Linked DNA regions of Oryza sativa Japonica Group. The protein of the gene in region 1 binds, or shares a complex with, the protein of each later gene. Links are inferred from orthologs where the notes say so. Each region holds a gene or a part of one and is shown on either strand. Other genes may lie near its edges.

Region 1 (4,332 bases):
TATTACAATCATGCAATGTTTATCTCATCGACAAACTGTTGAATGACCATCATTTTGGAAAATGAACAAGACATCTCACTTTCAGCAACTGCTGATGCTTGCATTTGAATTATATTGAGGTATCCAAACTTCCAGAGCAATGTTCTATTCTATTTCAGCAAAATGATTTAGGCTTAATTCATCATGATGTCAAATGTCAAGTATATGCTCTGTCCCACCTATGAGAAAGCAACAACCTATCTGACAAAGTGACAGTTATAGTTTGTAGGTCTTCCAATTTATATGTACAAGATACAAATGAAGAATATTCATAAATGATTGTGGGATAAGTTCAGACCCACATGAAAGGTTCTGCAACGTGTTTTCAGTTTTGATTTTTTTTAAAGAGATCCTATGAGAAATTCTAGATGCGCTTCTTCATTCTATGATGGGTTGTCTATATACATTAGTTTTCCTTGATTACACATGAGCGCATGTACCACTAATATAGTTGCCATCGGCTCCATGTTCTTCCTATTTCTTTACAAAATATCCTATTGTTATAGCAAGTGTACTTACTTTTTGGATAGGAGTTCATGAAAATTGTTCTTTTGTATACAGCATCCATGATTTATATTTATGTCTTAGTTGTTCTTTATCTTGAGACAAGCAAGGTGACAGATCCTTCTTGCAAAACAAAACTCCTACTTTTGTTGAGAGGGGCAACCCATTGTCCTCAGCTCATGAAAAAAAATAATGAACGAAGCTATCAGTTGAAGAACCAAGCACACTAAGATGATAGAGGCTTATATGGTATATCTTGGATTGCATGACCACTTACCTGAGCAATAATTTCCTTCTCAATATGGAACGATAGCCATATTTCACTAACTACATGATCTGTTATTTTTCTACCACATATTAAGTTTTCACTAGGTTAATTATTACAATGCAGTTTAGTTCTTTGTGATACAAATGAGGCATTTTAGTTAAGTCGTATGGAAACACCATTTCTCCCTACTTCACAGCCATACATATTTTAGTTTTTTGAGTTAGTCATGCTTCCCTTACCAACTTCTCTATATATTTTGTGGGCATATTTACCTTCTATTGTAAAAACTGTCTAGACCAATTCTCATGGATTGCTCTTATTATTATCATTGTAGATGGTGATAGGGATCAGCAAGCGTGCAGTACATCTCAAGCACCTGCAAGCTGGTGGTTGGATCTTTACTGGCCATAGCTACTAATTCTTTTTTATGAAAAAAATTCCTCAATCAAATAAATCTCAAATATCAGATTATATCTGGTCAGTGTAACTAATGTGTTATCCTGACTCTGAAGTCAATTTTGAATAATCTTGAATTGGATCAATGCAAAGATATCTTCTATTCTTTACCCTTTGCATTATCGAGGATTGGTGAACATGTTAAGTTCAGATGTTACGGTGATATCTATCTTTTGGGGGAAGCAAGATAAATTTATACCATATTTTACCTTAATGATGCAATTTAGTTTTTTTATTTACAATTTGATCATATTACAGAGCATGCTTGGATGGCAGAGCAAAGAAAAGTACGAAGTATGGTGAAAGATGATTTTTGTTTTAAGTGCAAACAGTAATTGTTAGATCACACGCAGCGTAGCGCGTGCTTCTTTCTAGTTACTATTATTTGAACTATGAATGCCCATGGTTCCAGTGCAATCAACACCAATTTGATTAGACAGGTAATACATGACCAGTACCAACTATGATGTAAACTAAATATAGATCCAGCAATCTTGCCGTAGGGATCAGTAGGTACCTGACCATGTGAATGGAGAAATAGCTCATCATCTTCCTGGCAAAATGCACCAATTTTGCGTACTTCAACAAGGTTGCCTGAATCTCGTATCTGTAGGACATGAATTGTTTGATATCGAAGAGAGACAATGCATAGCAGGTCCTCATACAAGTAAGCTCCAATACTATGAGCCAGATTGATAAAATCATTGCGGAAAGCTTTCTCATCTAGTATTGCGCCATCGTCTAGCCTGAACAAGAGAAATATAGAAGTCGAGAACCATTCAAACGAAAGGAAAGGATGGTTATAATACATAGACATCATAACGGACAACTAAAAGTGCATTCCTAGCGAAACAAGATGATTGTACCTGACAAGATAGAAAGTAATTTTCTCAATTGATGGTACCCCATGAATAGCACCCTCAGTGGCACTTGAATCGTTGCTTTGTGCAGTTGATGTGGCAAATAAGCCAAACTGATGGCACTCCATGTAAAGGAAAAAGTCCTTGCAGATGTATTCATTGCTAGATGCAAGTGAAATTGAGTAGAGCTGCTTAAAGAAGCTGTCGAATTTCTTTGCTTTGGGTGGAAGATCATGAGAGTCGCATGGCTCATTGCATGAAAATGTTGGCCAGATGGGACGGTACACGATTAAATCTTGGTGGTTCCGGCTAAAAGCCACAAGATAGTTGCCATCATCAGTGAATTTACGAAATGAATAATCTGGGCAATCTATGTCACATATAGTGTAACTCGGAACCAAGTTCTCATAGAACTGTCTAACAGTGTTAACCTGTCAACAAGAGGGGGAAAAAAGAAGATGATGAAATCTGCTAGTATAATTGAATAGACAGTGCGCGATGCGAACTAGTAGTCGAGACGTGTGACGATGATAATAGTGAATTGACAATTGTTGAAGCGAGAAAAGGGAAATTCTATGTGGGTAGGTAGGTCAGGCATATACTCAATAAGAAAGGAAGGCAGCAAATAAGAAAGGAATACTAGTCAATATATAGTCCGTAGAAAGAGAAAGGAATGGGGGGCGGTGGGCGTACAGTAGCGCCGGGGCGTGGGGAGAGGAACTGGCGGTCGAAGACCCTGGAGGCGAGGTTGGCGCTGCGGAAGAAGGTCGCCATCACCGGGCCGCCCGTAGCCTAGCCGCCGCCGGCATCGCACGGGCGGAGGCCCTCCTGCTTGCTGCGGCGCGGGCGCGGCGGAGGAGAGAGGAATTTGGTTGGTTGGATGGTGTGGTGGTGTCTGCTCTCTCTTGTTGTTTGTGGCCACACTAGGGGTGGATATCTTGGCTCGGCTCGGCTCGCTCCAGCTCGTTAGTGTACCGAGCTGGCTCGGCTCGGAGCCAGCTCGTTCGGGGAGGCCGCGACCGACGAGGGATGGGCGGATGGCGAGGAGGAGGGGCCGAGGACGCGAGGTGCCACCGTGCGACCGGCTCGCTGCGGGCCTTGGTCGCCGGTGGTGGCAGGATGCGTCTCGCTCTCGCACTCTCGCTCGTGTTCGCCGGTTCGCGTGTGGGTTGTGGCCGCGGCGCCTGTGTTCCTTACTGTCTGCGTGCCTCTTCTCTGTGAATTAGGGATTCTAGGGTTTGTTTACTCAAGGAAATAGGCTATTGGGCCACTAATGGGCTTTTCTGGTTAGGTAGCCCGGCTCGGAGTGGACTCCTGGTCCTGGTGTTTCTCTGGCTCGTTGGCCTCGTGAGCAGCTTGCGAGCCAGCTCGAGCTAAACCCTTGGCTCAGCTCGTTAGCTTTTCTCAACGAGCCGACCACGAGCCGAGCGCACCCCTATTTGTGGTGCTCAATTTTTTGGGAGAACCAAAGCGAAGCAACTGCAACTGCGAGCACCACCGGGACATGCCTTGTGCATTCAAAGCACACCAACAAAAAAAACGATTCAGCCCAAAATAAAATATTTTATTACTATATACTATCTCCGTCCTAAAATATAACCATTTATAGATCCTGGCAATGGTCTCTGAGATACTATTTTGATCACTAATATTTATAAAAATAAGATATTTTAAATAAAAGAGTTGTATATTATGATAATTTGTTTACATGATTGACCTTTTTATTTTGCTATTAATGGCTAAAGTTAAAAATGTTTGACATGTTACTATGCTAAAAATGCTTATATTTTGGGATGGAGGGAGTAGTATTTTGTTGTTTGCCGTTTGAAAGCCATTTTAGTAAAATAAATTGCGATAAACAAAACTTCTAAAATTAAATTTCATTTTTTTTTAATTTTTTGCGAGTGTGGCTAACACAACAATAAGGCTGCATTCGTTCCAGCCGATTCCCAACTCTCCCCTCTCGTTTTCCGTACGTACACTTTCAAACTGCTAAATGGTGTGTGTTTTATAAAAATATTATATATGAAAGTTGCTTAAAAAATCATATTTGATTAATTTTTGAAAAAAAAATAGCTAATACTTAATTAATCACGTGCCAATTGCCTGTTCCGTTTCCGTGTGCACTCTTCGTGTTGGGAAGCAAAAATGAAGGAACCCAGCCTAAGCGACGTGAACAAGGCCCACAAACAAATTTTCTTTAGC
Region 2 (4,586 bases), on another chromosome or scaffold:
TAGTTAAATGCATGATCACATCCTGAAGTTTCATGCATTTTCTTATAGAAGGCATCCTGAAGTTTTTTTAGTGTGTTCAAAGAGATCAAGAATATTTACTGTTAGATTGGACCGGGTGATTACTTATTTTCCCTGTTTGATGAGCCTAATACAATTTCCCTGGATCAAAATATGCAGGCCATGGTTCATGCATTTTTGCAGGAAGGTGAGTCCTTTCTCGATATTTTTGTGCTAACGGTTCTACATTTTTTTTTTGGCTCTACGTCCTGATGCAGTGTTGGTTCTTCTTGCAGCACTGGCTCCAATGGCAGCAACGGTGGTGCGGCGTCTGGGCCCGTAAGCCCAGACAATTTTGCTACACAAATTCACTCGTGCTGGTTGACTCACCTAATTACATTGCTGTCTATCATGGTGTTCATGTAAAACCCTGTAAAAAAATGATGCGTTTTGGATGAGATGCCCGAAATTTATTGTGGATCTTGTCAGTAGGAGTGTAGGAGGCCATATTTGTCTTAGATGTATTGAGGTTAGATGGCATGTGTTTCTCAAAATTCGTTGACCTAGAGAAAGGAGTCAAATACATCAATTTTGAATGCCAGGCTGGGAGTATTGAATTGTGGAAACCTTCTTTTCTGAAATGTTTGTATGACTCAAAAAGTGTTTTGTGCTCCCTGCATATCGCTTCAGTACTGAAACTGTCACTCTTGTTGAGTAACAGTGTTTTTCTCTCAGACTCACTAATATTTTTTTTCTTCTAAATTTATACTCTTGTTGAGTACTACATGTTTGTTAAGTTTTTTTTTTGGTCTCATGTAGCAGATGCAAAAATGTCTGGCCTGGTTTGTACAATGAAGAATTAAGTCCTACATAAAAATTTCTACGTTCTAAAGCAGTCCATATGTTACAGTTACATGGCACCGAAATTTATTTATGGTTTTTCAGGGTTGGATTTATGTGTGGTCAGTTTAAAATTTGAGTACTTGGTCGCTTTTGGCCCATTATTACTGGCAATACTGGAACAGCAAAAATGGATTTATAAGAGTATATGTGGAGCTATCAGGCTGTCACGCAGAATAAAAGCACGTCTCAAATCAGTTTCTCTCAAATTTTAGTTTTCATATTTTGTACTCCCGTCTAAAAAAACCACTGTAGGTGGCGATTTAACTCCACATAAAATTTCTGAACATATGTTGCAAATTCTCCTCTAGTTTGGTTTTTAAGATGGATAGAGTAATTTATATTGAAATGCAATTACTTCCTCCGTTTCACCTCCGTTTCACAATGTGAATGTGAGAAATGCTAGAATGACTTATATTGTGAAACAGACATCAATATGAATATGAGAAATGCTAGAATGACTTATGTTGTGAAATGGAGGGAGTAGTATTTTACACTGAACATCACAACAATTATGAAAAATAAATAAATAAATTCGCACCTCCCCTCATCGTCCCGTCACTCCCTCTAACCTTTCCCCTCTCCGCCGCTCTCCCCCCACTCCGGCGTCGCTCTCCATCCCCCCACCACCGCCGGCGGCGCCGCTCCCCCTCACCCCCAAGGCCAAGTCGTAAGCCAGCCGTCGAGGCCATGTCGTCGTCTTCCTCCTCCTTCCCGACCTCTCGCTCCCCTTTCCCCGCCGGCGCCGGCGCCGGCACCAGCGGGGGCGGAGGAGGAGGAGGAGGGGGCTCCGGCGGCGGAGGTGGGGGTGGAAGATGGAGCGGCGTGCGCCCCTGGGGCTCCAGCGGCGGCACGTCGGTGTCGTCGTCGGGGAAGCGGATTCAGAAGGAGCTGATGGACCTCAACGCCTCCGACTGCTCCGCCGGCCCTAAGGGCGACAACCTCTACCACTGGCTCTCCACCATCATCGGACCTCAGGGTATCATCGCCCTTCCCCCTCTCCGCTTACTCCCCCCTGCTAGCAGCAGCCGATAAAGCTCGTGCGAATTTTACTGCGGCTCTGCGAATTTCACTAGTTGAAATCGCGGTTTTTTTTTTTTCAAGTTTGGAATTAGGGTGTGGAGTGTAGAGTGAACTAGTCTTATGACCACCTTCACTTTGCTGATCTAATGCAGTGCTCATCTTGTAGGATCTCCGTATGAAGGAGGGATATTTTTCCTCGATATTGTATTCCCAATTGACTATCCGTTTAAACCTCCCATGGTAAGAACTAAGAATTAGCTTCTTTTTTTTTTTTCTGTTTGCTTAAATGGGCTGTTGGTTATGAGGTGTCTGGCTTTCTACGAGATCATATAGAAGCTTAAGTTGTAACTTGACATTTTCTCTCCTTGTCTGTGTGCATTCTACCTAATGCTGTGATTCATGAGTGATCATATCGCTGTTATTGGAACAAATATCTAGAATAAATATGGCATTCCCTTCAGTAACTATTGATAGACGACTATTGATTTACCGCGTGGAAGTGTGGTTAAGGTAACATGGGAAATGCTTGCATCCAAAGAAATGTTTTTAAGAGACATGCGCATGTCTAAAATCTTGAAGAAGTGGAATAGAAATTCAAATAGGATGGATAATTGGTTGGGATAATATTGTTGTATAGCTAGTTCTACTTCACTATGTGAACAGGGTATTACAAAAGTGATGAACATTGGTATGTTTAGTAAATGCATAGGGTATTTTGTTTCAAAAGTCTACCTTCACCGGACTTCTTTTAGTTTCTTCAAAATAAGTGTATGATCTATGCATTTTAGCCTGGAAGGGGTTTGAAAATGTGTCGAGTTGTCTGCAAGGATTAAGATTCATCCTAAAATGGAATATCTCATGAATCTTTTTGGGGACAAGGAATGCTTCTGTTCAAGGGCTAACTCAGCAAACAGTGTGATGATTAGAAGGGCATAGATAACAAAAGAGATTATGTTAAAGCTAGTTTATTTTGTTATTAATTAAAGCGACCTGCGTTCTTTTTAAGGTAAGCACCATTTACCTCTTTTCAATATGATCTTGATTATTTATGAAGAAAACTTATCTGAAGTCTGTTTTATGCTTAGTGTTCAAGAAAATAACTGCGCAGAGTTTCTAAAATGTTGTTTTCCTAGACATCCCCTGTTTTGGTTGATAGTGCTGTGTTAAAATTTTACAGAGAAAGGTTTTGTCCATTGGAAGCCTAATGTGCTTGGGCATCACCTTCATCCTATGTCAATATACTATTTGCATAGTAGTCTGGTAAAAAAATGAGCCTTCTAAATGCAGATTTTTGGTCCATTTAGTGTTGACATTGACTAATCAGTATACACCTGCTGGCTGTAGCCTACACAGCCCTACATGATCACCTGCTTCATGGTTTGTTGGTTGCTAAGACAGTAAGACTGTTACTGTCTTTGCCCAGCTATTACCATCAACTTATAATTCCTTGATGGGAGGTAGGATATGAAGGATCCGAACAACCAACCTCCATTTCTGCTCTTCAGTATTTGATGGAGCATCTGGAATTCTCCCCCATTCTCTAGATAGCAGTGCTGGAAGCCTAGGGCAATGCTAGGACTGATTTGACCTAACACACAGCCCTGCAGTGGTCTACCTTTTACCTTAACCAGCACATGGAACCATGCAAACATCAATACAGTCCAACATGGCAATCATATTAATTCTGCTAATGCTACACTCCATATAATTTGGCAATAGTAAGTGAATTTCTCAAGTTTTTGTAGAGTGGATAGCACACTCATAATACAGAGGAAATACACATGGGCTGGCAATTGTGGCTTGATTTGATGTTTCAGTAATTAATAATATGGAAGGTAATACACTCTTCCAGTTGAACATGCTAAAATTTCAATATTGAAGGAACAGCAATTTCAATGTTTATATAGAAGTATGAAACAATTGAGATCCACTGCTGTAATTTTATCCGATATTTCGGTATTAGGGGACCTCAATTCGTGGTTACAAGTTATAACTGTTCTGTCACTGTGCTAGGTAACTTTCAAGACAAGGATTTATCACTGCAATGTTGACTCCACTGGTAACTTGAGTATGGACATTTTAAGGGAAGGATGGAGTCCTGCTTTAACTATTTCAAAGGTGCTACTTGCCATTAAAGCCATCATAACAAACCCAGATCCATGTAAGTTCCAAGTTACAGTATGATCACAATTGTTCTGTTTCTGCACTATCTTCCATGATAAAACATGCAGTCCTGTTTAAACTATGTAATATACACATAATTTTTGCTTCATTTCATCTTGATAACTTCATATTATGATTGTTTTTTCCGTGCAGACTGCCCACTTGTGCCGAGCATTGGACATTTATACTTGACTGATAGAACTAAGCATGATGAAATAGCTGCGGAGTGGACGATGAGGTTTGCAAGATAGGGAGTTCCATCTGCAGCTAAGCAAGATCACTAACTCCGTAAATGAATATATTTGGTGTACCCTGAGATGTACAATGTTGGGAAAAGATCAATACTTTGTTTAGGTTGACTGTGACATAAGATGTACCTGTGCATTTTATATTAGACAATTATTATGTTGTTAGCTTTTAGGTGGCAGAATTGGCTTCAATGGTATTGTACTTATCAAGGTATTTGTTTAGAATCAGTTCGTCCAACCTACGAGTAAGTTTCT

Evidence for each region.
Region 2: light-mediated development protein DET1 (region 1) and constitutive photomorphogenesis protein 10 share a complex: the UniProt entries of both Arabidopsis thaliana proteins name them as parts of the CDD complex. The link is inferred for Oryza sativa Japonica Group from reciprocal best matches to the Arabidopsis thaliana genes DET1 and FUS9.

The regions. Positions count from the first base shown.
Region 1 is NC_089035.1:257,951-262,282, forward strand, and holds the start of light-mediated development protein DET1, read right to left. Parts: upstream 3,035-4,332; 5' UTR 2,902-3,034; coding exon 2,821-2,901; intron 2,559-2,820; coding exon 2,134-2,558; intron 2,014-2,133; coding exon 1,785-2,013; intron 1-1,784. UniProt on the Arabidopsis thaliana protein: Component of light signal transduction machinery. Involved in repression of photomorphogenesis in darkness by participating in the CDD complex, a complex probably required to regulate the activity of ubiquitin conjugating enzymes (E2s).
Region 2 is NC_089041.1:23,577,395-23,581,980, forward strand, and holds the start of constitutive photomorphogenesis protein 10, read left to right. Parts: upstream 1-1,466; 5' UTR 1,467-1,587; coding exon 1,588-1,876; intron 1,877-2,086; coding exon 2,087-2,160; intron 2,161-3,933; coding exon 3,934-4,081; intron 4,082-4,236; coding exon 4,237-4,334; 3' UTR 4,335-4,586. Other genes in the region: glucan endo-1,3-beta-glucosidase 4, read left to right, coding at 178-205, 294-423. UniProt on the Arabidopsis thaliana protein: Component of light signal transduction machinery. Involved in repression of photomorphogenesis in darkness by participating in the CDD complex, a complex probably required to regulate the activity of ubiquitin conjugating enzymes (E2s).